4 linked regions of the Drosophila melanogaster genome follow. The protein of the gene in region 2 interacts with the protein of the main gene of each other region in a pairwise test. Each region holds a gene or a part of one and is shown on either strand. Other genes may lie near its edges. The genes, in order: Noa36, CG3062, CG15337 and CG13321.

Region 1 (6,699 bases), on a different chromosome or scaffold from region 2:
TGCCCCAGTTGTTGCCACCGTTGTTCTGCAATGCCAATTAACCAGTAATAAGCCTCAAATCGAATTGATGGCGATCAATAAGTTCTTACCCAGTTGCCGCCACCATTCTGGTTGCCGTAGTTTCCACCGCCCATGTTTCCGCGGTTTCCACCGGCACGACCACCCGGACCACCGCGTCCTCCGCCACCTCCCTGTTGGTCATTCTGCTTGGGCAAGGCCTTCTTTACGTCCACCATTTTGCCATTCAGCTGATGCTGCTTTTGCACTGCAAAAATAAAGAGGGAAAGCATGCTATTAGTGGTATTCGAAAATGAACTTCCCTATGTGGTGCATCCGGAGGATAGTGTGCCATATACTCTTTCATCATTGGTGCACAAACACCACCAACAACAACAATATAATACTGGCTGGGATTTCATCTTACAGTCACAAACGCCGCACGAGCACATCGAACATTGCTATGCGGAGCTGGGACTGTGGAATTTTAGCTAAAATTAGGATCGATATCGGATAGTACACATTCACCATTTCGGTGCATTTGATTTGCAGTTGTAACGAGGCTGCGTGTTACACAGAATTGATTTATAATATACATTCGCATCACATAGCTTAGCCGACGCTTAAATTAATCTCACAGCGTTTAAATAAAAACCATACAGGCGACTTTTTCAAGCCCGTCAATTTGTCAGTACTGTGACGTCCACGAAGGGGCTGATCTAGAAACTTTCTGTTTAATCGGTTCGATAATCAAGGTGTGCCTTATACTCTTTCATCGTTGATGCACGAAGAGCACCAACAACAATGATATAATACTGGCTGGAATTTATTCTAACAGTCACAAACGCCGCACGAGCACATCGAACATTGCTGTGCGGAGCTGGGACTGTGGAATCGTAGCTAATTTTAGGAGATATATTCACGCTAAATAACATTCACCATTCTGTGGATTTGTCAGTATATTCAAGTAAGCGAAGGCATTTAGATACTCATTCTTTTCATATAGTTGGTAATTCAATGTGATATTGTGCCTTATACTCTTTCATCGTTGATGCACGAACAGCGCCAACAACACGATATAATATGGGCTGGGTCTTTTATCTTACAGTCACAAACGCCGCATGAGCACATCGAACATTGCTATGCGGAGCTGGGACTGTGTATCGATTTCCATAATAGCAATTAATTGAACTATTGTAACGAGGCTGCGTGTTACACTGAATAGGCGCAATGCTTACATTCGCATAACATAGCTTAGCCGACGCTTTAATTCATCTCACAGCGTTTAAAAAAAAACTACCCTGGTGATGGTTTCAAACCAGTTAATTTGTCAGTACTGTGATATTAGGAAACAGTTTTAGATTCAAGCTATAGTGTGCCATATACTCTTTCATCGTTGATGCACGAAGAGCACCAACAACAATGATATAATACTGGCTGGAATTTATTCTTACAGTCACAAACGCCGCACAAGCACATCGAACATTGCTATGCGGAGCTGGGACTGTGGATATATTGTAATAATTGCAATTTTATCGAAATTTCTTGCTTATAGTGCGCATTCGTTTATCCGACGCTGATGGACATTTACGAGAAGCCCTACAATGTGCCAGAGCTGATTGAGCATATAGATTAGGGGTGGTTGCATGTCATACTTTTTTTCTACACGAACGCCGCGTACACAAATGGGGTTAATATTCGTTTCCTGTGCAGATAATTCAATCTGTATTGTATAAATCTAAGAACATGGCAATGTGATTTTCCTAACAGTCTACTCTCGAAGAGATAAATCATTCTTAAAGGATATTTGATATTGTCTAGATTAGGAAAAGCGTTGTACTTACACACAACTTTGTCCACGGGATCGTAGTCGTCGAACTCGACGAAGGCGAATCCGCGTTTCTTGCCAGTCTCCTTGTCAATGACTATGTTGATGTCGACGATGTTGCCAAAGTGCTGGAAGTAGTCGCGGATGCTCTGCTCATCATGGTCGTCCTTGAGGGCGCCAACAAAGAGTTTCTTTACGGTGGCTCCGGCATTCGGGGAATCAATGTCCTGACGGGGAACGGCGCGCTTGGGCTCCACCACTCGACCGTCGATCTTGTGGGGACGCGACTTTTGGGCCTCATCAATCATGCTCGAGTGGGAATAGGTGATGAATCCGAATCCGCGGGAACGCTTTGTGCGCGGATCCTTCATGACCACCACGTCCACGATGTTGCCCCATTTCTCGAAGTGAGCCTTTAGGTTCTCGTCGGTGGTACGGTAGTCCAAGCCACCGATGAACAGCTTGCGCATATGCTCCGGCTCGGTGATGGAGTCCTGAGGAAAGTCCTAAATTATTGATTTTATCAATGGCCATAACCTCACTTTCCGCCCTTGAGACACATGCGTAATTTTCAAAATGGCGACCGGCAAGGCGAGACACCAGCTTACAGGAAATTTCTAGACCCTTAATATCCACTACTTACATCATCATGGCCATTGGAGTTGCCGTTCTGGTTCTGGTTCGAGTTCACCATTTTACTAATGCAAAAGTTGAACAACTTCTAATCTAACTATTTTTTTTGCTATTGCAAATGGAGAAAGTCCCCTGACACACGAGACGAATGAAAAAACTGAATACAGTGTGACCGTTTCTACAACCCGATTAAACCCAGCACCTATTCGATACTACCTAGAACGATAACGATAAGTTGACAGACACCCTTGTCAATACAATACTTTTACAATATCTGCCCTGTTTCTTTTCACCATGCCTTAAAAAATGTGTGTAACATGTGTATTCTTGATCACGCCTTTTGCACTAAAAAGCTAAAAGAGAAACCAATACCGACAGCATCGTACTCCCTAGCACTATTAAGATACAACTACTGTTAGTCTTAGTCTTAAGTAACAAAACCGCAACGAAATGCTTTAGCACATCAACTTTAGTTGCCGCATGGGTAAAAGCGCGTTGATCACCAAAATATATATATATTGGGATTATGGCCGAACTGAGTTTTTTCCCTGTGCAGTCGCGGTTTTGTGTGCTACTTACATCTTGCTCCTCATTTTGACCATTGTTCCAGTTGTCGTGACCACCCATTTCGAAGAACTTATATTTAAATATCTTTACTGCTCTGATATATATCTCAGCAATACTATAGAAATAACGACACTGGGAACGAAAGACGCTCACTGTAGCACCCCTTCCCTAAAACTGAAAATATATTTTCCTGTGGAAAGGAAAGCCGTAGACAGACCTTACAAAAATACTAGACCTAAATAAAAGCAAAGGTATTTGGTTACACTAATCGGTTGTTGCTTCCACTTGTTTCCACTGAAAATCTATGTGGGTCAAATTAGCGTCTATGGCAGAACGGTGAAATATGGAAAATGAGAATCTTATTTATTTATTTAATTTTTCGCTATTTATAGGTAAATTCCAAAAAAAATACAAATGCAAAAATCTTAATAAATCGAACTATTTAAGAGATCTAACTATCTATGTACGACTAAAGTTTATAGGACTCAGAAAGTATATAAAATATGCAATAAAAAAATCGGCTAGCTACTTTTCAAGGAATATCTCCACTCGCAGAGCATATTCCAAAATGCACGCTGGCCAGAAAAATGATGTGTTAAATTACTCGGCTCCGCCGTCGCCGCTAACTCCACGATGCTAATTTAACGCATTTTTTGTAGCTATTTTCAAGATGTAGCTACATATTTAGCGGAATATTCGAAAGCTTTTTGTGGTATTTTTCGGCGCACCCGCAGCAGCCACACTGCCGCACACGTAAGGAAATAAGTTTTCTAATTCCTTGATTTCAAAAATGCCGAAAAAGAAGACTGGGCAGCGTAAGAAGGCCGAGAAGCAGAAGCTTCGCCTCAAGGAGATCCGCAGCAGAGAGGTGCCTCTTGCGGATTTGCCCTGCAATGCACCAATGGAGTGCGACAAGTGCGAGAAGAAGCAGAAGTCGAGAGCCTTCTGCTATTTCTGCCAGAGCATTCAGAGATTACCCATTTGCGCCCAGTGCGGGAAAATCAAGTGCATGCTAAAGACCGGCGACTGCGTGGTCAAACATCCGGGCGTCTACACCACGGGCCTCGGAATGGTGGGCGCCATCTGCGACTTCTGCGAGGCTTGGGTTTGCCACGGACGCAAGTGTCTCCAAAACCACGCCTGCACGTGTCCGCTGCAGAATGCGACCTGCCTGGAGTGCGAACGCGGTGTCTGGGAGCACGGTGGGCGCATCTTCAAGTGCTCCTTCTGCAACGGATTCCTGTGCGAGGACGATCAGTTCGAGCACCAGGCCAGCTGTCAGGTGGGTAACCAAAAATACTCATTAAGCTTGTTCCGAACTTCATTTTGAGATTCATATGACGCCTTTTGGTAATGCAATCCATTCGGTTCCAGGTGCTGGAGTCGGAGAACTACAAGTGTCAATCGTGCAACAAGCTGGGTCAATACTCCTGCCTGCGCTGCAAGACCTGTTACTGCGAGGATCACGTGCGTCGCAAGGGCTTCAAGTACGACAAGAACAAGCCAATTCCATGCCCCAAGTGCAACTACGATACCTCGGTGACCAAGGACCTCAGCATGTCCACGCGGTCGCACAAATTCGGGCGACAGCAACAAGGAGGCAACAGCGACGACGAGGAGGGATACGGTGGATACTATGGAGCCGGTGGCAGTGGCTATTATGGTGGCGCCGCCAGTGGGGGCTACTCCTACGGGGGTGATGACGATGAAGATGAGTCCGATGGAGACTACGATGATGAAAGCGATGAAGACGATGATGATGATGAGGAAGAGGACGAGACCACAGAAAGTGAACCGGAGAAGGAAACCGACAAAAAGGCCACCAAATAAGGCTGAATTGTTTATATACTCGTAAATGGCCTTTTGTTAGTCCCTCTAAGTGTGCGAATGAATTCTCGGCTGTGCAGTCGTTTCTCTCGATGTAATAGGGAAATAAATTCTTTGTCAAATTGTAGAGTTTCCAAGTAGCCATTTTATAAAATGCAACAAGCTGCAAGTGGACTGTGGGCGAAAGTCGAAAGGTAAATGCGCAAGCGAATGCGAATCCAAATTCCACAAGGGAGGATAACTGGGGAACTGCGGGTGCGGATTGGAAATAATGGCCCTGGGCAGGGAGGAGCAGCAGGGCCAACCCGTACGCATATGATGATGGCGATGCCAACGGCTCTGCCAGCGCCAACTTCTCTGCTGATAGACTCATCCATCTCCAATCCACTTACGAGCGCAAATATTTACACAATTTACTCGAAAACGGAGGTATGAGCATATAATATTTCCAAAAACGATGGCAAACACACCACACACACCAAGCGAAAGACACGCACTTCGGCATTTGGGAATGTTTGTCAGTTAGGCAGAGCGGAACAGCAACAGCAATGGGTAGATGGGCGATGGTTGCTGGGCCATGTGGGGCACGGGATGTGGGCAGGGTTCGACCCATCATCAGTCTGAAACATTTTAGGCATTGCAAATCAATGAGCGGCCTGATATAAGGGAGGAGCATAGTTCTTCTGCATATGAATGAAATCATATGTGGCGTTACTTATGTAGGCGAGTCCTGGGCGAGGATGTGGACGCATGGGGTCGGGGACTGGGTGGCATGAGTGGCAGGCAAATCAACTGTGTACATAATACAGATTAGTGTGAGAGGATATGGGATGCACATACAGTCGCGGTGGGAACAATAGTCCTTTGATTTAAAACATAATCCGGTCTCTATAGTAGCTAATATTAAACATTTAAAGCAAGATTTCTCTTCACTTATATTTTTCCCTACGAACTTTAAAGATGGATTGATACCTACCATATCCTTGGTATAATGTGTAATTAGCCTTGCTAAGATACCCCCTGCTGTGGTTACTTACACGACCATACTTATGTATAGATCGGAGCAGCTTAATGGCCGCCTGCCAGCATTTGTGTCTGCATTTCAATCAAAATGGCCTGTCTATTCCGGCCGAGGCGATGTCCAAGCCATTGGAGTTAGGGCTACTCAACAAAATTAGAAACGGGGTGGCTTATGGGGGCTAGATGGAGGGGGTGTGCCATTTATGGACTGTGGGCTGTGGTGGTCAGTGCCAAACATCAATAATAATTTCATAAATGTAATCAGAGAGAGGCAAACAAGACCCGAGTCGAGTCACAGTGATTGAGTTCTTAATTGCACTGCGATATTAATCCTTGAGACCACTCTGTCCAGCCAATTTGGTCACTTCCCATCACGATGACCGCCTTCATTAGCCGGAGTGCATTCTCAATTACCAGATGGATGGGTCTCGGGTTTAAAATCTCGCTGGGATCAGGATTCCCAAGAAATGCCAAACGCAAACTGTAATCACTTCCGATCAGCATTATCTACTGCTTATTTATGCAATGCCAATATTTTTGTCGGCCAAAGTCAATCCATAACAAAAACACAGCCATGGCCAAGGATTAAGGTGGGAAAATCCTGTGGACAATCCGAGGAACACGTGGAGAAGTCAAAAAGTGCGGCTTATGGCCAAACGCAATTAGCGTTAATTACGATGGAAAACAGCCGGAGCGGCACAGCTTCCCATGGTTACGGGTTAAGGACTCTAGGATTTTAGGATTCAGCAGGTCCTTGCGGCCACTTGAAGTTTAATTTAATTTCATCTTGCGGCTGCCGCAGCGTTGCTCGCTTCAAGTGATTGCGC
Region 2 (9,268 bases):
CCATATATCTTTATATATATATATATATATGCTTTCTAATATATATAACATTTGTTTTTTTATACATAAACGTGTGATTTCCTATTCTTGGACCGATTTTTCCGACTAATTTGTGTGTACAGATGCATCAATTTAATGCTAATGACTAGCAAACATTTAAGTTGATAAGTTAATATACTTGCTTAGCTTATGGACATTTTTGTATAGCTTTCAATTATTCATTATCCCGTTTGTCCGGACATTTCTCTCTTGAGCGGACTGCCATCCTGGAGCACACCTACTTGTAGACAGTTTGGAGAAGGGGTCGCCGCCGCTGGTCGATGGGCTTGTAGGCGTGCTGATAGACACTGGCCAATCGCCAGTGCTCTGGATAGCCGCCCTGACCCGCTCCGCCCGCTTGGCTTTGGAAGGGCGGCACCAGGGTTTCGATGTCGTAATTCTTTTTGGCATACGGCTGCCGGGGGCGTGGCACCACCAGAACCCTACCACCGCCACCGCCACCTCCTCCGCAGCCCGGTTCTATTCCCACGAAATCACCGGAGGCATTATGCTTGGGCACTCCGGCGCGAAATGCCGCCTTACTGGTCAAGCAATGTCCGTGTCCGTGTCCATGTCCATGGTGATGACCATGTCCGCCGAACGATGGGGGACAGCATCTGGGAGCTGGAGCCACCTTGTGGCAGAGACGTCGAGCTGGACGCCGGAGGAGAACGTCTCGCTTGCATGGTGGACCACCCGTTGGCCGGCAATCCATGGCCCTGCAATCCTGTCCAGAGTCCGGACCCAAATATTTCTCCCTCAAAGCCTGGTAGGCTTTGTCGCCCAGCAGGGGTGACGATTGATACTGCTTGGCTAGACGATCGGGCATCCCGCGACCGGGTAGCTCCGCCAAATTGCCGAAACTCACACCGCCAGTTGGACCGCCGATGCCCGATCCTCGCCTGCAATGCGATGCACTGGAATCGCGGGAGACACTGCGTGCTCTTTGTCTGGCCGGTGGCGAGTAGTCGCAGGCGCACGGATCCTCGCGATCCACACGGGCACCGCCAAAATCCGTTCGCTTCCTCAGGATGTCCTTGTCGAAGAAATCGGCCTCACCAAGCGTGCTGGTGAAGACGCCAGCCGATCGGCCCAAGTCCGAGGACTGTTCCTCGCGAGGCGTTTTCACGCAGGTGAAGACAGCCGGTCCAGCGGAGTCATTGGAGCCATCTATGTGCCTGGCCAGGCGCGGCTCATCCGATGGATTCGCCGGCTTGAAGTCCCAACAAATGGCCAAATCCATGGGTCCCATCTTTTTGGCCGGAGCGGAGCCAACACCTCGAAAGGCATCGCCATTGCCGAGGGCACGTGGCACGATGCCACCGCCGGTCTTCGGACGAAAGACCTTCATCTTGGTGCAGTGCGTCGGACCAGCATTGTGCGTTTTCACACCCACGCCCGTGGCAATGGGATCGATTTCCAGGGCCAGGCCAGCATGTCCGCCGGATATTTGCGCTCGCCGGAATGCCAAATCGGCGACGCAATCGGGCAGCGGCTGGTGGTCCAAATTGTCCTGGTGCATCCGTTTGGCCAGCTCGAAATTGGCATATGCCGGCACCACTGGCGATGGACACCGCTCGTTGGGCTTCTCCGTGATCGAGTGCAGCGGCATCTTCTTGATCAAATCGGGTTCGGATACGGATACGGGATCGAGATCAAAGCTTCGTATACCCACCGTCGGCAATGAGATTAGATCCTTGCCCGGCTCCAGGCACGCAAAGCTCAACTCGCTGCTGCGCTCCAAGTGATCCGTATAGCGATTTTGGGCCGCTGCCAATGCCGGAAATTGACGACCGGCCGCCGAGCCCAGCTGCTCCCTGTACTTGATGGGCTGCGTGTCGCGCGTGTCCAAGGTGAGACGACCAAGTGGCACGCTGTCCGTGCTGTTGCGTTTCTGGTCGAGGAGCTCCTGGTGCGAGGGCAGCCGGAACTGCGGCTCTGTTAGGTCGCCCGGCGTGTAGCTCAGTTCCGGGAGAGCTGTTTGCGACATGATTGGATGGAGTAATGGAGTAGGTGGCTTTCAGGTTCGTTCACTTGTTGCAATGCGTTGGTGGTGCAGAATGGAATGGGATGAGATAAGATGGAGATGGAGATGGAGATGATAATGATGTATGATTTATGTACATATGTAACAGATGGTTTAACCTGGGTTTAGTTATAAAATATATATGCTATATGATTTGTGTTGAGTGCAATCGTGCTGCCCTTTAAAATGTATTTTAAACCTGCGGTTACAATGAATTTGATTTGAATTTCGGTTGAACAAAATAATGAAGTTTTACTAATGGCCCTTCGCCGCCTTGCGCTCTTTCTCCTTGCCCTTATCCTTCGTCTTATCCTTCTTGCCCGCCTCCTTGTCCTTTGGCTTGTCCTTCGGCTTGTCCTTGGGAGTGGCGACAGTCGCCGCCGGTTTCTCCGACGATGGAATCGGCTTGGTCAGCTCATTGGGATGCAATGCCGTTCGTCCTTTGGAAAAGGCGGTTATGGTGCGCTTTCGACGCCGCTTTTCGGTGGCCACACCCGTCGTCTTGATTGCCTTCGGCGTCATCTTCACGGTTTTCTCGCTCTACGGTTGCAGGTGAATGTGAATGTGAGTGTGCAGGGTGCAGGATGAAAGTGCAAAAAGTGCAACCAGAAATGAAAATATGTATAGCTTGGTTGCAGATAACTCAATAATCTGGGTGCACATAATTGGTAAGAGGTGACACCGATGGTGACCCCGATGGTGACCCCGATTCCCACTCACCACCACGTCGCACTTGGCCCGATTGCAGCGCGCACTCCGCTCGCTCAACGCCCTCAGCTTCTGTAGTCCCTCGCACTTCGTCTGGCACCGTTCGCGCATCCAGTAGGGATCGTCCTTGTGGCCCAAGGTCAACCGCTGATCGCAGGCCAGTGCCCTGCGGTTCTCTCGCTGACAATTGCACAGGTCACGCGGAAAGTCAACAAACTTGTACCGCCCACTCAGACAGGCATCGTAGTGGGCGCAAAAGGCACGGGTTATTCGACGCGGTAGCTCGTAGGTTCCACGATATTGGCCAAATGAGTTGCCCTCCCTGTGGATTAAAATTAAACTGTATAATTGTGGGGCATTGGCAATTGCTTACTTTATCACTTCGGGCAGCAGGTGACCGTTATTGGCCGCCACAACCTTGGCGTTCTTCTGCAGACCACGTGGGCGGGGTGGTGAGAATCGCGGATATTCCCAGTTGTTGAGACGCTTCGACTGGAATCGGCCTTCGAACTGCAACGAACGAGTAAGTAAGGAACTCGATGTCAGGGAGCTGGGCATGGGCATGGGCATGGGATTAGCCAGGAGTCGATAGACACCTGTTAGGAAAACGCGCACGCCCCCTGCGAGTAATGCCCTTATTTATGGTCCCAGCGCAAACAAGGCAATTGATAAAAAGAAAGAACAAAAAAAAAAAAAAAAATTGTAGAAGGAGCAGAGCAGAGCAGAGCAGTAGCCCACCCCGCAGCCGTGGCCAAATGTCAATCGAAAACCGGAACCCACCCCGGGCGAATGGAGGTGGGGCCAATTACACGGCGTAATCTCTACGCTGGAACATGTGTAGAAAGGCATTTGTCTAATGCCACTTAATGCCTTGTTTGTGTTTGCCTTTCTAAAAATTTCCAACATCTCTGCGCGCGCTAAAAAACGAGCCACTGCATCTCATCCAAAGCCCGGACCATTTATCAGAAGGATTAGCCAGCCCTAAGCGGGCACAGGAGCAAGTGAGCCCGGCAATATGCCTGCAATTGAATTGGATTGAACTACTATGTGGCATAATTGAATATGAATATGAGAAGTGAAATCTGTTAAATGGAAGATCATCTCTTCCAAAAAAAAAAAAAAACATGGAGCAACATCCAACTTTGGGAGATTCAAAGCTTTCAGGCTGCGTGGTCTTCCCACGCGTACGAATTTCAATTAAGGAATGCAAATGGACCTTCGCTGGTAACTCGATACTCGGAGCGCTCCGAGTGTCACCACTTGATTGAGGCCTTGATCGATGGGTGCTGCAGTGGGTGTTCCACTGGGTGCTGATTCCGTATTGTGAGTGGGTGTGACAAGGGCGCACGTTCGCAGCGCGTGGCTGTTTTGTTGGTCAACCAGCATTACCGCATCGGCGCTGTAATTAAATTTGCACGGCAATTACGCAATGTAGCTGTGCGCTCGAACAAATTGCGGCGTGAAAAAATACAAATTGATTTTAAACTCAATTAGCAACAAAGGAGCTAACAGCACTTGGCTCGATGGTGTGGTATCTATGCTAACGCTACACAATAGACAGATAGATACAGTGATGGGATAGATAGATAGATTGGTAGCATATATGGGTAGAATAGTTTGCACCCCTTGGATGAGATGGTTGAGATGGGTGAGGTGGTCACCCCAGCTGGGTGAAGCGATGATTTTTATGGCAACCCTCTGGGGTGCAATTTATCACATGGTGTCCTTGCATTCTCGCATCCGCAGGATTAGACAGTCAAAAAGCTAGTTGGCAAACACGTGCACGGTTGAATCGCTGGTTTAGGCCGAGGCACTGGGGTTGGGCTAGAAGTTCGCCAGAATGAAGGTACTTCTCTACTTTCGGGTACTCTTGTATCGTATCTAATGTCGCACTTGTATCCACTGGTGTGTCCTGGTCGAGGCGACAAGCACTTAAGCTAATTTCACGCTCTGCCGCCGACTATCCTTTGGTCCAAAGCTCCTGTATCCTGTGGATTGTGCTCCGCCTCCTGCTTCTGCTTCTTTCAATGCTCCATTCAATTTTTCCAATTTCAATTTCCGCTGGCCGAACAGCTGTCGCCCTGGCCAATTGGTAAACCATTAACGCCAGGCGTTTCGATTGATTCTCGAGTGCGATTCGAATAGATTCTTTTCGAAATTCCGTCACCACCGCAGTTAACCGATTCCGTTGCGATTGTGTGTGTATATGGCGAATAGCTGTGGACTCCCAAAAACGAGTTGCGTGGCAAAGGTTCTGGTCCAAAGTAACCGTTACCAAGTAAATAAACTTTAACTGTCGCTATTTGCAAATGTGCAAAGGCGGCGGTGGGCGGTGGGCGGTGGGCGGTGGGCGGGGAGGAAATGAAAAAGCGAGCTCAAACGGTTATGGGAGCGGAAACGGTAACGGAGCGGTAGCGGTAACGTTATGCGTACGACACTCAAAAACAAGAAAACACCCGACATATATTTTCAAAAATAAATAAACAAAAGTTTAAAATTCGAGCAAAGGAAACACATGCCATTCAAAATGAGTTAATTTAAAATATATAAAAATATAAATAAAGAATAAAATATATAACTGGTAAAAACTAAAATATGCACACAACAAAACTTCCTTGTCGCCTGGCCTTTGTTTTTGTTTATGAACGCCAGTACACCCACACCCATGAAAATAGCACCCATACAGGGACAAACAGCCGATTGTCGGAATGCAGGAGTCGTTTTTCACTGGATAGAAAAGGATGGCGCCGAATCGAGTTGGTTGCCATTGCCACGTTTGTTGTTATTATTATTGCGAAAATGTTTACATCCATGGATCCACACAAATATATATATATGTATATATATATATACCCGTTACCCGTACCAACCAAATTAGGCCACTATTTATGGATATTGAAAACAGCCTCCCAATCGACTAGAATAAATTTGTCTTACCTGCTGTGCACTAAAATGAAGGGCCATTTCGAAATTTTGCACAAAAGTCGAAATTTCCGTGACGCTTTCACAGTTTCTAAAACAAAAAAATAAAAATGTATCCTCAATTTTTGAAAATTATGACAGAGGCTGCTCTACTTCGCTTTTACACAAATGGGCGGGGCTTGGCGCAAAGGACACGCCCGCTTTTGATACGTGGATACGTGGTTCTTGAAGGTTGGTGAAAAAGGGGGAACTGTTAGCATCTGGCTTTTCCGAGCAAAGCGTTCAGACAAATGGAAAACTCAGTCAGAGCAGCTGGTGTCCAAAAGTCGAGGGGAGTGTCGTGCAAAGGCGCGCCAAAATACATAAAGTAGACAATTTTTTATTGCGATTACAATGCTGTATATATTAATCGTTTGAGTATAAACAAATATCACGACTTAAAGGCTAGACAAAAAATGGATCTTAGTTTAAGGTTCTGTTTTTTTTTTCTTGGTTATTTATATTATATAAACCATGATCAAGGTTTACTCCGAGGATTAAGCACTGCTTTCCCATAAATTTAATTGTATGTACTACTGGCATATTTAGTTTTGTTATTTCCTTCGATATTTCTACTTTTCAATTAAATTACACAAACTAATAGCTTATATCTTCTACATTTAGTACGGGCATATTTTAACCTTAGGTTAAATCGTGGCTTTACAATTGTTTCTACGAAAACAAACCTAAGCCTAAAAAAAAAAACGAATCGAAACGAAACGACGGGCATTTGTCTTTCAACAGTGGCAAGGAAAAAAAAAAACAAAAAACAAAAAAATGTATGTATTTAACCATAGGTTAAATAGGTTAGCAAATCGGCAAAATCCATCGAACACTTCGGTTAAGTTGGTGAGATGGCTAATTCGATAATCGCATTATCCATAGCCGCCACCGGCAAAGTATCCAATGGAGCGATGTGCGGATTACAGAGCATGGTGAAATGCGTTTATCGGATGTGGAATATTCGCAATGTTTTCCCCCTAAATCCGCCCGCCACGCCCCCCCACCTCCTACGGGGGGGCGAAAAAATTGGCCTCGTTAAAGAGGCAGCTGGTGGCGAAACTGGAGGCGCCGGCGCTATCTCAGGGCGTCTCCAGCACATGATTCAAATAGGCAATGTAGCAGATGGCCAGCTTGAGGATCTCGATCTTGGAAAGCTTCTTGTCCGGCGGCAATGTGGGCAACAGCTTGCGCAGCTCGGCAAAGGAAACATTGAATGCCTCCACCCGTATACGCTCCCGCGTCGCATGTGCCGTTCGGTATTTGAGTGTCGCTCGCCTGCGACGACGCCGCTCCTCCCGCGATAGACCCACCAATTCCGATGGATCCAAATGGGCAATGGGCGTGGTCCGGCGACGTGGCGCCGGCGTGGGCGGCGGTGGCGGTGCCGGTTGTGCGGCCGTTTCGCACGCCATTCGCGCCTGAAAACGCTTATCGATATCCAGCGTCGTACTGGCCGCATAGTCCTCGTTGACCAGATGCGGATTATTTGGCCCAATCATCTCATCATCGTCGACCAGATAGTAGCGACTAAGCGAAATGCTTTGCGGCGGACCCGCCGCCATATGGCTCATATCGTAGACCATTCTCTGGCTATTTGCACCACTGATTTCGGTGCTGGACACTGGACTTTCTTGCGCTGCCCAGCCTGCTGCTGAATGCTGGAAATGGAAATGGAAGCAAGAGGATGCACAGCTTAGACTATGAATACAACGAAATGTGTACTTGATTGCTTCACAGATCTGCATTTCAAACTCAAGGAAGACGAAAAGTGTGGCTACCTTTGCGGTGGAGCGCTCATGCTATTGAAAAAAAAAAGGTTACAATAGGCGTTGAAGAAATCATAATCCTTGCACTCGAATTATTTATGCTTCATTTGTGGACATTTGTGATGAAGGGTGTCCGTGTGTGTGTGTGTCGTCCTTGCCGATGAAGGACACACCCCTTTTTCGCTGCATTCTGTTTGCGTTTGCTATTATTTTCATTTATTTTTATTGTACTTATTGTGCTTATTGTCGGCATTGTGCGTGTATTGTTTATTCGCAGCATATTTTCACACCTACACAAATAGCTGAACAATCGGCACGTTTATTTGCCCGCGGGAGTTGGCAAACCTCAGCGATGCCAACCCCTTAGGCTTGGCCACCCTTTTTTGTATTGTTGCGGTTAACGTATGATTTTATATCTATTGATTTAATGGGTTTTGGGTCCAAAAAGTGTCACTGGAATTGCATCAAGTCGAAGACGTGTCTATTGATCCCATGGGATGATGGAAATCCGATCTAGTTTTAAGAACTTGTCGTGTAACTCAAGTCCCCTCAAGACTATGAAACTCCAGTACACTTACACATGTCGAGTGCGTGCACATGGTCAAGTTAGCTAATTAACAAATTTCTAGATATAATTTTAAACGAACTAGAGACTTCATTCAGCTATTTGTATCTTTAATTTGATTATTCTACTCGCTAGTACATTCACTTCATTTGCATTGCTCACAATTTTTGGGCTTTGTTGCCTGAACTTACAGCAGTTATCACAGGTGCAGAGTTATTCTAGATCCTTGAGTTGTCTGGCAGATATCCTTGCTTGCCACTAGAGTCGGTTGCTCGCCGGATGGATGCTCACGTGGAACTGACTTCCGGTCGGGAAGCTGCAGCCTCCTTTATAACCAAAATCGGAAACAACCCCATTGCGTTGAAAGCCAGCCAATGCCAAGTTATCCACCCTCGTCGATTAGCGCCAATTGTAGCTGACAAAATGGCGGAGATTTTGATATGAGACCGCCCCTTTCCAGAAATGGACATCATCCCCTGGAGGCTGTGTAATCCGATGACCTAAAAACTTTCTTTTCTCAACTAATTCTTGAAATATTAAAAAAAAAAACAACGAATATATATTACCATCTTATTGATAATGTTTTCGCTATCTTCAGTTTGTAAATGATAAATTATCTTCAGTTTGTACATGATAAATTATCACTTTTAACTTTGCCGCCTTTGCATTTGAATTGTATCGCTTAACAGCAAGCGGTTAACATTGGTTTACATAACGGCAGTATCCATGCTGCCCATCGATAGGCAACTAGTTAACCAGATGTCTGTGTAATCGTTATCGTCGGGGAAACATCAATTATTTCATAAGCGTTTTGCATTTAATTTTATTACAAAGGGGGGAAAACAATTAAGATGAACCTGGGAAGGCTGCTGAATCCACTGAGGAGCACCGCATGTTCGGTGCGCAGCTACGGAAAGCACAACAAGAAGTTCCTCTACAAAAATGGCCAGAAATTTGAGGGTATCACCTACTATCCCAGGTTCGTATTCACGTGTGCAGTGTATAAAAGGAAAACACACGAAATCCAGCATTTGTTAATGCTAAATCTATCCCGCTCAGGACTCCCGATCACCAGGATCCACCCGTGGAGCCGGCGAAACTTTTCCGGGTGCAGCGCATCAAGCCGCTAAAGGGCAATCCCTACTGGGAGAATCGAATCCTCAAAGATCTGGGACTAGACGGAAAGCAGAGCGATTTTAC
Region 3 (7,049 bases), 3.5 Mb from region 2:
AGTTACCATAGTTAGAGATGATAGGTTATGAATAACAATCTTGGCTTAAGAGTTAGAGGATTACCAACTGAGGACATACTCTTTCTATTTTCCAAATACAAAGCACATACCAATTTTCTTATCCTTAGCATGATGTTTATAGATTTTCCTCTATATTAATAATATTTTCTCCATATCTTTAGATAGCCAAGTTCTCGTTTTCGCTCTACACGCTCATCAAGGGGATGAATCTCGGCGAGCGATTCAACAGGACAAATTGAAGACCATTTATCGTTGATGCACTGAGAAATACATATATATAATCTATCAAATTTCGCATAATATGCGTATCTATATATATATGTATCTATAGGATGCGCTAGTTTTAGGGATTTTAAATCCCAACTGTAGCTTGATTATCCATTCCAATATGATACACACTGTATTGTAAGCAAATAAATTAGAACACGATGTGCCAATTTGTTTTTTGTAGTGTATTCCCTGCTGTAGATATCAAGTAGATACCGAATTAAAAGCGAAATCAATAATGATCGCTAATCGGCCAGAACAGAAGCCTGCTAACCACCGAATCGCATTGGCGCACCTCTATTCCCGATCCCCAAACCCCGATCACCGCTATCGCAATACTCATCCACTTTTTTGCATCCCAAGGCGAAGCACCTGTCAGGAGCGGAGTGGCCACCTCTTCGTCGCCATCTCCATGCCAGATCCACTTGGCCACCGATTTCTGGCCCAATTCGTAGTGGTGACCACACTTTGTTGTGCTTTACCGTTGGCCCGTGCACTCAGCGAAAAATGTATATGTTATATATGTTTATATTATTGTATAGTATCAAGATCTCAAATCAGATATATAAACGTTGCTTGGAATATATGTATATAGTTATGTTATAAAATTAGTTATAAATACCTTTTTCTAGATTGAAATCAACTTTTTCTGCGTGTAGCTGTTGGCCAAAGTGGGGAAAAGTGGAATGGAAAGGCTGGCTTTCCCAGTCTGGTTCTCAAATTCTGGCCAAGCTGGAGATATTCGAGGCTGGCCAAATGTTCTTCTGCTCTCGAGCCGACAGGTTCTGCTTATTTTTCGGTCCGTCGCGAAGTTGCTTTCGTCGGAAATGTGTGTGAAAATTATGTTTTATGTTCAGTGGATTAGTGGCCAGTGCTGATCCTGCTCCTAAATTGCAGCCATAAGATACATTTCCATCTGAGGATCATCGGGATGGTAAGTTTGAACTTGCTTTACTTACGTTTCATATGTTTGGGAAAGAAAAAAAGGAGGCAAAGTCGCATTTGCATCCACATCCAGCAGATCCAGTTTGTGCTGGCTACTCTTGCACTTGGCCTTCGCCTATTTTCACTTTGTGGGCCAACAGGTTTTCCTTTTGGCATGTGCCACATTCGCCGAAAGTAAACCACCTACAAAAAAAAAAAAAACAAAGTAGACCGCAGGGAATGCACTCGAAAAATGCCTCAAAATCGAGTTCTTAGCATTGTAAATATATAAATATAATCGAAAATATTGGTATGATGTATCTGAAACTTATTGCTGTAGTTTTTATATTATATAATATAATTTAGAATTAAGCAATTGATCAGAATTTCCAAGTATTAGGGAATTAATCATATAGAATATTTGAAAAATTGTTAGGTTTAAGAAATCGGTGTGTTTCGAAAACGTAGTGTTGTAAAAGTGTATGTTATGTCGAAATGTCACAAAAATGATTCGAGAAGCAGGATAATCAGGAACCTTCGAGTTTAAAGTACATATAAGCGGGTTATTTGCAGCCGTTCAAAATTCAAGTTGCCACCTTTCCAAATTTCATTTGCTCCGCCTGGAGATTGGATCACTGGATCTTCGGTGGTCATCGTTGCCATCGCCCAAAACATCACCATCACTATGAGCCGACAATTTATGCATTTACCGCTTCACAGCCGGCTGCGCCGTTTGAGAAGCGGATTGGAACCGCCATCCGGCAATGTCGTGGATGACAGAATGTGCTGGATTTGCCTGAGGGGCGATGAGGATCACCGCCGAAGGGATTGGGTGCATCCGTGTCGCTGTCGCGGCACCAATAAATGGGTGCACGAGGCCTGTCTGAGTCGCTGGATCGATGAGAAGGAGATGCTATCGCCGGGTGCTCCCGTGACGTGCACCCAATGCCGCACGGAGTACATTATAGTGATGCCGCCACTATGCCGCTTCGATGCCATGCTGGAGCGACTGGACAAGGGCTGCGATCGTATGTGTCCCAGTGTTCTGATGGGCATCCTGGCGGCCACCGTTTACTTCTCCGCGGTGATCTACGGAGCACTCACCGTGCTCCAACTGGCCGGCTACAGCACGGGCATGAAGCTGCTCCAAGAGGATCCCTCGCTGCTGATGATTGTGCTGCCATCGGTGCCGACGCTCCTACTTCTCAGCAGGCTTGTGCGCTGGGAGGACTGCGTGATCCGTTGGCTGCGTCGGCGCAAACGTAGCGCCATTCCCGCCGAGCAACTGGATGCTGTGGGTCTACCCCTGCCCGGTGCTCCGCTGAGCGATGAGTACTTCGATGAGCTGGAGCGCGAGTATCCGGCCTCGGATGGCCTAATTGGCGGTAACTTGGCAACGGAGCAACTTGGTCGCGCCTCCACCAGCTTCTGCATTGCCCTAAGTCTGCCCACCATTTCCGTGGTGCTGGGACAGAAGCTCTTCGGCAGGATCTACGAGGAGAACAAGTTATTGAGCATCCTCCTGGGCGGACTGACCTTTGTGACCATCAAGGGATTGGCCAGTATCTTCCTTAGCCAGTCGCAGTATCAACAGAGGCGCCACAGATTCGTCATGGACTACACTCCTCGCAATCGTATCAACTATCAGTCCCGGTAGCGCTGAAGGCATCTAGAATCTGCAGGCATCCATCAGTTACAACAAAGATCCACTGATCCTTATTTAGTTTTTTCTTTTATAGAATGGCCAAAAATCAATAAATTAGTATAAGTTGCCAAATATTTATTAACAATTGTTTGAGAAATTCCAAAAAAATTAAGTAGCTCCAGTTCACCGGAGTTGGCATGTCCAGGACTTTGAACGACGGACGGCACCTGGCCGAGATCAGTGTCCTTGGCCATATATAAAATAAAAATCTAAATGGCGGCTAAAGCCCGCCTAACTGCTCCCAACCGGTTGCTCAGATTCCGGACGATATTCATGATCCTGATACGCGATCTCTGGACCATCGAAGGACCCGGATGCTCCAGCTCAATACATTTGCCCGGCCAGACGAACATTATGTTGGAGGCCACCGCCTCGTCGAAGAGGAGCAGATAGCAGGGTCGCAGTGACAGCGATTCCTGCACAAAGTACTCGAGAAAATGCTTCTCCGGCGAATGGGCAATGGATTCGTCCAACTCCGAGGGTAGTTCGCATATGACCAGTGCCCTTTGCGGTGCAGTGAGCGTGGAGTTCCGCCAGCACAGCGAGCTTGAATTTCCAGACTGCTCCCTCTCTGCAATGGATTGGCTGGACGATTGCTCCTCCGACTGGACATGCTGCTGCTGCGGCAGCGAGCTCAGCTCGTCGCAGTGAACCAAGGCTGTTTCCGGTTGGGCATACAAACGAATGGCAACACCTGGCGGTTGCTCCAGACGTCCAGTGGCCAGGAAACGATATAGGTACTGAAAGGGCAAGCCCAGATAGGCGTAACTGGATCTTGGCCTTGGACTCGAATCGCCCAGCCGCTGAACATTCCGCTCATAACTGATGCTCAGCAGATGGCCGGGCTCCAAGGTGGGTCGTGCCAGGCCCAGAAAGCGGCAAAGTCGCCGCAAATGCAATCCCGACATGCGGCGCAGAGTGGGCGACGAGGGCGTGGCCACCAGGATCCAGTGCAGCAAATGCAGGGCGTCCACATCGTCCGGCATCAAAGCGGCATACTGCTCGTCAGTACTGGGGCAGTCCAACATGATGCGACAGGAGGGCCAATTATCGGCGACGGCGTGACGCAATCGATCCACTTGGCAGCCGGAGCCTGGTGCCGCTTGAAATTGTGGCGGCACCGGAATGAGAGTTCTCTCGTGCTCCACACTGCTGGCCGCCGCCGTGAAGATCAACAGGCGAATGTCACTGGCCTGAGGCTGAGCTCGCAGCGCGTCCCGAACCTCAGACATTGCACGCTGGAGCGGAATAGGACGTGAGGATACCGGCGGAGGTACTTTTCCCTTGCTTTTGTGGTTAATAGGGTTGGAAGTCAGTGGGATAAGGACTTTGGACAGTGACGAAACCAATGCTTACTTAAACGCTAAAACGCCATCGTGTGGCTCATCCGGCTGGAGTTTGGTTCTGGGCTTGGTAACGGGTATCGGCAGGGGTCGAGGATTGAGGATCGGATTGAGACTGTTGGGCACCATGCCCATCGGCATTGTTGTGTCCATGTCCGGCAGCGATTTTTTTTCACGTGCAACACACAATGCCAAATAAATCTAAAATATCGCACTAACTCTTCTAAAATTTTGACAAAGCAAATATAGTTTCGAAAACTCTGAAAACTCAACGGCGAGCTACTTGGTGATTCAATGTTGATTGATTTTGAAACGGAAAAACACAACCATGATTAACAATTAATATTATTAATATTGTTTTTAATTTCCAAATTGCGTGAGAATATCACTTTCCATTTGCAAATCGACAAATAGTTTTCGTGACGTAACTATTTGCGAAAATCAGCAAATAAACTGCTTGCGCATAACAATTCGAATGCATTGAGTATACGCACTGTTGTACTACGAGTATACATACGTACCTCAAACCAAAGTCGAGTTTACGCGAAAAAAAAAACGAAAGCTACGATTACGATGGGATGCGATGACATTGAATCCAAATGGCAGGAAGTATTTACAAGCTCCAATACGGACGGGCCCCTCTGTTGTAAACGGCCAATCAATCAATAGTGAATAATAATAATACAAAATATTTATTTATATTTAATTGCGTCACGTTGCTGAATGCTGAATGCTGATTATAATGCTGGACTCTCTTGAACTAGACCTCACACTGTGCTATATTTTTGCCAGCTTAACTACACCAAACAAAAAGGCCTGGGAAAACTTCAGTGTGGCCTTTATATACAATATATATCATCATCATCATTAAATATTGGGAATTAAATCCCAATCATCACATAAACATGTACCTTGGACTTGAACTAATCCATGAATCCTTCTCGAGCTCGCAGAGGTCACCACCATGACGCATCTGACCTAGAAGTGGTAGCCAATTGAGAGGCGAGCTTACGATCCATGGGTCAACGGGTCATCTGGATGGGCAATAGCTACGTCAATGCGGCGATCACAGTCCAGACATACGCGTATACTATGGCTGGCTGGATGGGATGCTGATACCGAGTGCCCAGTGCAAAGTACGACATTCCACAGCGGATGGATGGATGGATTGCTGGATTGCCGGTTTACGGAGCTCGTATTTGCACAATACAATCACAATCATGTACATATGTCTTATGATATGCTTTTACTCTTTGGAAATTTCATTTATTAAGTTACTACGCCTACAACTAATTACGCACAGGTGGTTTATAGGGTATCTATGGGGTCTACAGCTAGTTTAAAAAAAACTTGGTTTTCTGGCAGCCTGTTATCGATTCGTTGGCCTAAACTAGATTGAGTGACTACAACTAGGTGTGTTAGTACATCGTATCGACTACTACGCATTATAATAGCACTTGACAGTCATATAAATATGTTGGTAATTTAGCCTAATACATAGACGTGGTGTCTCTGGCTGTCTCTCCTCCTCCTCCTCTCACAATCTGTTCATCTAAGTACGGATGATGATGGTGTTTTGCCATGCTCTCCCATTGAGTTTCAAACCCAATTGCAGCACTATGTGGCGGTATGTTTGGTTAGCTCCTTTTGCGGGCAGGCGACTTTGGGATACACAAATTCCTGCCGGTCGTCGTGGGCCAACTGGAAATATGGAAAGAAAAGCATATTGTTACTCAAACTCAAAGGATTCTAGAAATTACAGCTAAGCTGTATTCCAATTCAAATGCAAAGCATAACGATAGAAGCGATATGGAATTGAATGGAATAACCACATCATTCTTCCTTTGAAAGCATAAACATGAATGGTAGCTCTACCCACCTAGGTCTCTTAGAACCGCTTGTTGTCGCGCAGGAAGGCCTTGTGACGCACCTCCTCCTTGAGGCACGGATCGGTCTCCTTTCCGGAGCCGCCCCGCTGAACGCAAACGGTCTCGGCCTTCAGGCCGAAACACTGCGTCTGCACGACATTGAAGAAGAGCTTTCCGATGGCGTTCGCATCCTCGTCGCCGGCCATCTTCAGACACGTGCGGAACCGTAGATCACAGCTGCAGTGTGACAGCGTGTACGGTCGATAGTTGAAGAGATCATAGCGATTGGACATGCCATCGATCCACATTTTGCAGTGATCATGCTTCCGGCAGCATTTGTCCGCCTTGGAAGCGCCGCCCAGATCGTTGTACGTTCCATTGGCCAGATTGCCGCGTCCGCACCACCGCGTGTTGGGCGCAATTAGCCAATCGGAGAGTTGCCGCCGCTCCCGACGATGCACTGCAGCAGCACCGCGAACGCCACTCTCGTCCGTGTGGCTGTGGCTGTGGACATGGGCTAGGGGCACCGTTTCCGATTCGATTTCGCTTTGAGGGTCGCGCAATCTGATGGCCAAGTGCTTGGCATCCGTCCCGGGAAGAAGGCACAGCTGCCAGGTCGCCAAAATCACCAGTGGCATCAGTGCGCAGATAGTGCGTTCGTTCGCGATCCACATCGTGTTGAGTTCTGTCTGTTTTCGTTCTGCTTTTCTTTTTTTCAGCGTACGGTGCCCGTAACTGATTGCTCGCCAATCCGAAAAACACTGCCGTTTTATATGCTCGCCCACCGCCGCCAAAACAAAACGAGCGTGTTCACACTGGCCTGCATCTGCGCAGGCCATGTTGTTTACACGCTATCAGCTTCTAACAACCAATTAAACTATACAAGTGATGGTTTTACATTGATTTGGTGTTAAATGTAAA
Region 4 (8,235 bases), on a different chromosome or scaffold from region 2:
TGAAGACCCGTACTGCTGGTCTAAAAAAAAAGTAATACCTTCGTAGCAGCGACGTCGGCAGAGCAACCCTCCCTTTCGCACAGAACACACACCATACTCCACACACAGATATAACGACATCGAATCGCACTTGGGCTTTTTCAACTAATTGTATCGCCTTTGTTGTATATAGAAATTTTCCCCTATGTACCACACGGCGGCATATGAAAACCTATGTACATATGCTGGTAGAGCCCTTCTACAAAACGGCTTCATTCGTTGCCAGCTAAATGATGTGCCCTGCGAAAAGATACAGAGACTGAGATACGGATACAAATATACGAACACGGATACGGATACATGCATAGACGACGAGGTTCAGATACAGTGACAGGCCAGAGGCGAAATTTTGTCATTCCTCTCGTCTGTAGAAACTGAAACTGATAGTCGTCCCGTCCCCGTTTGTTATTGTTGCTTGGGCCCTGGAATGTCGAGCATTTTCACAGTTATTCCGAGGGTTGGCGGTAAAAAAGCAAAGGAAGCTGGGCTTCGGCTTCAATGGGATGTGGTCTCCGATAGCATCACAGTTGCCTTTTAATATCTCTTCTCCGGGAAAATAAATGCGAGATTTTACGTGGCACTGCTGACGCTGTATGGCACGGATTACGAGTATGTGAGTGCGCTTGCTTTGCAATAGCGAAATTAAATTACAAGAATTTATATTGGCCGAGGGTTATTCGCCAGGGGGTGGGTCTTCCCATGTCCCGCAACCCGTACTCCTTGTATGGCTTTAAAGTTATGACTCTGCCGCTGCAAAGTCTGAAATTGACAGTCGTTCGGAAAGCTGGTGGTTACACATTGGGGTGTCTGATATTCAAATAAAAACGGGCTTAGTAAAAAGGGGTAACATGGTCAGGTAGAAATATTAAATTGGATCGCTTTGTTTAATCTGCAAAGTTATTTAAGATTTTATCTTCAGTGTTATTGCATTTTGGATATTGGCGATAGATGTTTTTTTGTATTGTAGAATGGGGAATGCTTAGTACTGAAACCAGAAATGCATTCGAACCATTAAACATTTAGAACTTTAAGCTACATATGTTACAATGTACAATCCAGTGTACAACAGATTTGTCTTTGAACTAAAAACATGGGATTTTAGGGCTTTTGTGTGCCCTAAACATTTGATTAACCTTCGATATGCAACATAAAAATATGTTTAAATGTGACATATAATTTGGAATTCTTAGCTTAAAAATAATTCCCCTTTAATTATAGGTCACAGACGTTAAGTTCAAAAAAATATAAGTTAGTTAATATTTCTCTAACTTTGACCTATGTCTACTTAACTATCTGTTTTTAATTTATAATATTTTATTTATAAATTTTACGTGTATGTATAGTACCACTACCTGAGATGCCGTCCGCAGCGATTAAGATCTACAAAGCTGACTTCCAGGTGTTAAAGCTAAATGTTTACAAATAATCTGCCTTTACTGTTTTGTCTTTCGTTGGATTCAGTATAGGTGGAAGTAGCGACGGCATTTTGAGACCTGGGAGGCGGCCTACCAAAACCAGTTTGGAGCGAAAAGATTTCTCTTCATGAACCTTTTGCGTGAGTATCAGTAAAAACGTATTTTTAAAATCTAATATACCCCTTTGGACAATAGCGAAATTATCAAGTCGCTAAGGACTCTGGTGGAAAATTAACTTGTAAATGAAATGTGATAGGAAACGCCTTGTCTTGGCCACCTGCCACTTTTAGTTGGCCACGTCCACAGACTGAGAAACTTGCTACAGAAGACCAATTAAGTTCGAGGTCGGGAGCGGCCGGATTTCCAGTTAGCCAATGAAAACATAGCGCTGCCGACGACGGTAACAAACGACCAATGACAAGCAAGCAGTAAGGGCGAGCGCGAGTGAGAGCAAGCGAGTGCGGCTGAGGGGAAAAAAAATAAGATATTCGACCCTGGGGGTGTATCTTTACATAAAGTCTACGCGCCATGTAGAGAGTCAATCGAAAGCTCTGGAAAAGCTTGCAAAACAAAGCATAACTTCAGGTGTAACGAATTTTTTGGTTGTATGAGATTATCGCCCTTCTTGACGAGATCATTTGAGTTGTATATATCGGAAATCAAAATAGCCTTTCCACAGAAGAAGAACTTATAAAAAAGGTTCCCGTTGTTGTTAAAACATCAATACTAAAATTGATTAGAATCATATTTTATTTCTTTTCTTTATTCCGTTTTACCCAATTTCTCATTTCCCTACGAGAAGCTTTTGCGAGGAAATATACATATTCCAGCAAAATTCAATCCATATTAATAACCAAGACCAGGGATTCTCCAAAAGTCTAGAAACCATTAAACTGGCGGTGAACCACCACACTGACTTTTAGTAATAGTTCTCTCTTGATTACTGGAGTTCGCCGAAATCGGTCGACTAGAAGTCAAAAGGCGTAGTGACCCCGGTCTATCATCAACTCACTTGTGGCAGCTGCTGGATTTTCGTGCCTGGAGAGTCATTGTCCGAATTTGACAGCTATGGAAACCAGGGATGACTGGACAAGCTGTCCTTGTTTTTGCTGCGATGCCAATAAACTTGAGCATAACTTAATTCGCTATAGAGTAGCGTTCATAGCAGGCGATTATTAAATATATAGAATATATCAAATATGTTAAAACAAATTACTTGTGTTTACCAAGCAACAACAATGAGCTGTCTTGTCATTTTTCATTAAAATTTCGGACATTTGGTTTATCAGAGGACGTTTTTAATGAAACAAAATGATTTATAAATTAGTAGGCAGACGACGGGGGGACAACACAAAAGTCTAGTCGCTGTAGCAGCTCAGCCCTTGACCAGGACCTCGTAGTGGTCGATGCGGACCTCCTCGCCGTCGAATGGGATGTAGAGGCAATGGTGTGACTGGTGGATCTTGCCGGGAGTGAGGCTGCCGTGGTGGTGGGCACGGCCGATGAACAGGGGCTCTCCGTCGGAAGTGCGGCCGCAGAGAACGGCATTGCCGGGCACATTGCCATGGCTGTCGTGCACCCATCCGTACCCGTATCCGGCCAGCAGCTCGTAGTCGTGCTTCACAACCTCACCGCCTCCGTAGGGCACATAGGCACAGCCCTTGTTGGGGATCACCTGTGGTGGATAAGTGGATAGATAAAGTGGGATGCAACAGAACAGATTTAAAGATGGAATGCTCCAAGTGTACATTTTCGGAACACGAGCTGTATATAGTTTAAGGTTCTCACCTTGGCTGGCAGCAAATCGCCCTCGTGGTAGGCGCGACCCACATAGATCTGATCGCCATCGGCGTCGTGTCCGCCAACCACTGTTCCGGGAACAATGCCGCGTCCGCTAGAGGCTATCCACGTCTCGGGCTGGACCAGCACTTCATAGGCTTCCAGACGGTGCTGAAATGATATAAGATAAAAGTGATTTACTAAGATTTATCACATTGCAAACACTGCTTGTGCGATTCGTCACTACGTGGTCTTCGAACGTTATTGTTGAGGGGATGAAGGGAATCCATCAACATAACATCAAAGTGAGGGTTAGACCTACCTCCTGTCCGCCGTAGGGGATGTACAAACACTGGTGCGAGGGATGGACCTTGCCGGGGGTGAGGCTGCCCTGGAAGTAACCACGGCCCACGTACAGGGGCTCACCCTCGCCAGTCTGGCCCACTTGGATGGCATGGGGCGGGACAGATCCACCACTGGACGGGATCCAGGAGAAGTGATCACCGACAAGGACCTCGAAGTCATGCTTGCTGATCTCCTGACCGCCCCATGGCACATAGGCCTGCTGCTTGCCGGGCACCACCTTCGCTGGCAGCATCTCTCCATTGTGGTAGGCACGGCCCACAAAGATGGGATCCTGGTCGGAGTCGTGGCCAGCTAGGATGGCTCCTGGGGGCAGGGATCCGTAAACGTTGGTGCTAATCCAGGTGTAGTCTGAGGGCGAATAAAATATATATATAGAGCAAGGTCAGAGGCGATAAGTTAACTTGGGCCAACGAGGGCCAACTGTACACCATTAATCAGCCACAGTAGAGGTTTTTTGTCTTTTATTTGTCAGGGTGTAGAATCGCTGGATCTATGGAAAGCTACCAAAGCTCCAAGGGATTTCGGCTGTCAGGTGCGCGGAGTATCGATGACACTTGCCCACTTGTCACGACTAATTGCGGCACTATGCTTTCGTTTTCGCCAGAATTATCTTAGTCACTAACTTTGCACTTCAGTTCTCACCTCCCATGTTGTATTTGTGTGCTTTTTTTGTATGTTGATTTAGGTCTGGAACGTGATGTTATATACTCGCTGGCTCCGCTATGTTTGGGCTGACTTCAACGACTGGTCGCTACCCGCACATCGGTTGCGCCTTAAAAGCTGTTGTTTCCGCTTATCAGTTCGGCAAGTTAGCCGGCAGTGATAAGATATCTTAGTCACACTGCTCTGAACCGTTCGATTGTGTGTGTTCCACAAAGGTATCCTCATGTCGTAGAGGGTGTTCGTCATTGCGACCAACTGACAGGTGTGTCAGAATGTATATTGGATGATTTTGTTTGGTAAAAACAATTTAAATTCTGGGTTAAACAGGAAGCGCAACCAAAATTACTCAATCGATCTTGTGCATGAATATTTGTTTTTGTTTTTGCGGGTTTTATCTATAAGCAGTTGGCTACGAATCTTATCGCCGGTAGTCAAAAATAAACTTCATCAATAAGTTCGTAAAAGATTATATGTATGAGGGTGGCTGTCCATGGATCAACTATAAGTTCAGGAATGCTTTTCTAGAACAAAAATAAGAACCAACATGTAAACAGTTACCTAACCTTCTTGTGGATTATTCAAATCATAAACCTAATAATTGAGAAACCTTTGGAAAACTAACTGTAACTGTTGTAAAGTTACAGACACTTGTTTGGTCTAAAGATGAGTCAATTGCGATATAAAGTTATTGATATCGTTACCGCTGAGTCACATATGTATATTTATACTTTTTAATGCCTTTTATGCCTTACATAAATGCATACATACATATGTCCTTTGAAATCAGTTTGTTTGTTATTACAAAGAAATTATTAATTAAAAGAGATAAAATAAGCACATACATTACACTAAAGGTTTAAAGATTATTTTTAATATTTCAGTAGGTAAAAAATAATTCAAAATGAATGATCCTTTTTCTATTAAAAGTACAAATTTTCGACATGCTTATCGCCCCTTCAACGGGGGGGATTTTTTGAGCATGGGCGCTTCTGGCAGGCGTCATATTGTTTATGGGTCTATTTAATTGGGGTTCCACCTGTTGAGAGGGCACAACAATAACATTTAAAACAATGTCCACATGCTTCGATTTACTTGTTTTTTTCTTTTACTCCCAAAAGTACCGCCTGTTTGGGCCAATGATTCATTTTCGATCGATAAATGGAATGCTTTTCTGGAAATGGAGCTTTCGAGACTGGAAGTTAAAATTAGTGATAGCAAAGGTCCCAATATCAACTGCACTTCTTTTTTTATATATGTACAAATGCGAATTGAAAGATAAAAGCTCGCCGATAAGAAGCAGTGACGAATCGCTCTGGTTCGGTTTTTAAACGTCAGGCTTTTGCAAACCAATAGTTTAGTGAAAAGACAAACTTTGGTCAGTTCAGACGCATTTTGGAGTCAGAAGAACGCAAGTGAATAAAAGAAACTATTTTTCATAGGAATAACTTATCAACAATTAACGCACAATGGGTAAGTAGAATGAGTAACCTCTGATAAGTGCAACCAAAAAAAAAAAAATGATTTTGCAATGCCAAAGTCTAATGAAATAAGTGTAATTTACCTTCAAGATCATCAAAATCAAAAAATATATTGTTGCATATTAGCTTAATTAAATTCAATTTCCCAATTACGGGCGAAGAAATCCGCAAGTGCTGACCAATTCTGTTGGTATTGCGATTTTTTTCTCTGTGCACATTAGCCGGAAGAAAAGCAAAGAGCATTGAGTGACTTCTACAGTTCTCCGCCTTTCTTTGCTCTTTCCAGGCGCCGTGCAGCCAGGAGGAGTTGTGACCGTTGGTAGGACGAGTGCAGTGAGCCCAGGGTGAAACCCCTACGCCTCTGTGAAACCCCAAATCCCATTTGATCCCCGCCCCCAGACCACCTAGGCCACCCAAAACCACCCAAACCCGCAAAACCGTACAGCAAGCCAAATATGTACACGGAGAAAAAGCTATGAGAGTATGAGTATAGAGTGAATCATTATATTGTACATTGTACTTAATTTTTAATCAAAACCGTATCCATTTAATAATGCAGCTTCGGGATGATAAATGTTTACCTTTTGAAAAAGTACGAAGTTAGTAAATCTTAATCTTTTTTTTTTTAATAACAATATATAATATCTATCAAGACAATATTAATATAACAGTGATTTAAATCAATCAAGTAGAGTTTTAAGATATTTCCAATGGAAAGGACACGAAACTTACTCTCCGGTTTTCGCTCTGTGTACAGATAGGTTATCTTATCGCGTGGTATCAAACTTATCGCCCTACTGCCTTTCTCCTTGCAGACAACACCTGGGTGCACTCGTCTCCATACAGCCCCCTGCCCCCATACGCGGTTATCGGTGGCCATGACTCGGACCGCACGCCCATCTATGTGGGTCGATCCTTTCACGAAGGCGAGAATCTTCCCGCCAAGGTCGTACCGAGCAAGGGATGCGCCTATGTGGCCTACGGTGGTGCGGAGCACACGAAGACGCACTACGAGGTGCTGGTGGGTCAGGGATTTGCCTGGGTGCCCAGTTCCAGCGGTGGAGTGCCACCGAATGCGGTGAGGAGCGGAACGACGCGAACGGGCGAGCCGCTCTATGTGGGACGCGGACATCATGCCGGAAGCTTGACTGTGGGCAAAGTTCATCCATCGCACGGCTGCCTATACATTCCATTTGGCGGCCAGGAGGTGCGCATCAACACCTACGAGGTGCTCATCAAGCAGCAGCACGACGTCTGGGTACCGGCCTCGCCCAGTTACACTCCTCCGGGCGCAGTGATCGCCGGACACGACTCCGACCGTACTCCCATTTACGCCGGAAGGGCAATGCACGAGGGTGAAATGCTGCCTGCCAAGGTGGTGCCGAGCAAGGGAACCGCCTACGTTTGCTTCGGCGGATACGAATTCCAGAAGCCCAGCTACGAGGTGCTCACTGGCTACGGATATGTATGGATGAATTGCGGCCACAGCATTCCACCAAACGCCGTAACCACGGGTCGTGCTCGCAATGGAGAGCTGCTGTACTATGGGCGAGGACACTACCAGGGCAGTTTGACACCGGGTCTGATCTCGGCCAGCCAGCGTTGCCTCTATATTCCGTACGGAGGTCGGGAGATTCGCATCAACTCGTACGAGATTCTCTGCAGACAATAAGCTAAAGGAACGGAACACTACAGATACCATATGCATTTAGTCTAGATCAAACTGTTATCGCAGCCAAATAAACTGATTGTTAATACCGGAAGAAATCTGTGGGCATTTTGTGTTCCTTCTATTTTTAAAATACTTATCCCTGCAAATGTATTATACTGATATGGCCAAAATGGACTGTCGGATTAGACAGGTTTTACAAAATTTATGAGCTACGATAGTGGCTTGCTATGAAGGTCATTTCCTTATATTCTACCTTTCTTCCACATTATTTACTTTTAAAGAAATTTAAAATTACTACATCATTTTTTTGCATGTCTATAGATGAAATAGCATATTATTGGTTAGTCCTTTATGATAAACTAATCACTTCTGAATAAGCAAATAACAAAATGCATCTTTCTTTCAGCCTACAAGTGGGTTCAATCCTCGGCCTACTCCTCCCTTCCCGAGGAGGCAGTGGTGGGCGGCAACGATGAGGACGGCGCCATGATATACGTGGGCAGGGCGGAGCACGAGGGCGATATGTTGGTCTGCAAGGTGGTGCCGAGCAAGCAACTGGGATTCATTTCGCAGCGAGGAGAGGCACTGCCCAAGGACATCTTCGAGGTGCTGTGCGGTCAGAATCTGGTGTGGATCAAGTGCTACGATCATGTGATTCCGGAGAATGCTGTACTCTGTGGACGCACATCGCTGGATCAGCCGGTTTACATTGGTCGTGGTCATTATGAGGGTCATCTGATTATCGGCAAAATCTCCTCTGTCCATCGAGCTTTGTTCATCGCTTTTCGCGGTGCCGAACGTCGTCTGGATTCCTATGAGATTT

The links.
Region 1: the proteins of CG3062 (region 2) and Noa36 interact in a two-hybrid assay, tested with the Drosophila melanogaster proteins (one large-scale study listed by BioGRID).
Region 3: the proteins of CG3062 (region 2) and CG15337 interact in a two-hybrid assay, tested with the Drosophila melanogaster proteins (one large-scale study listed by BioGRID).
Region 4: the proteins of CG3062 (region 2) and CG13321 interact in a two-hybrid assay, tested with the Drosophila melanogaster proteins (one large-scale study listed by BioGRID).

The regions. Positions count from the first base shown.
Region 1 is NT_033777.3:28,596,338-28,603,036, reverse strand, and holds Noa36 (Noa36), read left to right. Parts: upstream 1-3,748; 5' UTR 3,749-3,815; coding exon 3,816-4,307; intron 4,308-4,399; coding exon 4,400-4,855; 3' UTR 4,856-4,978; downstream 4,979-6,699. Other genes in the region: Hrb98DE (heterogeneous nuclear ribonucleoprotein at 98DE), read right to left, coding at 1-25, 90-265, 1,842-2,331, 2,469-2,519.
Region 2 is NC_004354.4:4,639,048-4,648,315, forward strand, and holds CG3062 (uncharacterized protein), read right to left. Parts: upstream 5,822-9,268; 5' UTR 5,738-5,821; coding exon 5,711-5,737; intron 4,941-5,710; exon of another isoform or gene 4,667-4,940; intron 3,284-4,666; coding exon 3,147-3,283; intron 3,096-3,146; coding exon 2,786-3,095; intron 2,606-2,785; coding exon 2,321-2,605; 3' UTR 2,222-2,320; downstream 1-2,221. Other genes in the region: CG3081 (uncharacterized protein), read right to left, coding at 278-2,029; HLH4C (helix loop helix protein 4C), read right to left, coding at 6,817-7,320; mRpL30 (mitochondrial ribosomal protein L30), read left to right, coding at 8,920-9,047, 9,128-9,268.
Region 3 is NC_004354.4:8,157,477-8,164,525, reverse strand, and holds CG15337 (uncharacterized protein), read right to left. Parts: upstream 4,473-7,049; 5' UTR 4,414-4,472; coding exon 4,274-4,413; intron 4,205-4,273; coding exon 3,127-4,204; 3' UTR 2,974-3,126; downstream 1-2,973. Other genes in the region: Or7a (odorant receptor 7a), read left to right, coding at 183-260; CG10761 (uncharacterized protein), read left to right, coding at 1,898-2,869; GIIIspla2 (phospholipase A2 group III), read right to left, coding at 6,149-6,802.
Region 4 is NT_033778.4:12,949,670-12,957,904, reverse strand, and holds CG13321 (uncharacterized protein), read right to left. Parts: upstream 4,794-8,235; 5' UTR 4,249-4,793; coding exon 4,242-4,248; intron 3,948-4,241; coding exon 3,556-3,947; intron 3,405-3,555; coding exon 3,243-3,404; intron 3,130-3,242; coding exon 2,830-3,129; 3' UTR 2,193-2,829; downstream 1-2,192. Other genes in the region: CG44250 (uncharacterized protein), read left to right, coding at 5,729-5,732, 6,027-6,059, 6,556-7,412; CG44251 (uncharacterized protein), read left to right, coding at 5,729-5,732, 7,819-8,235.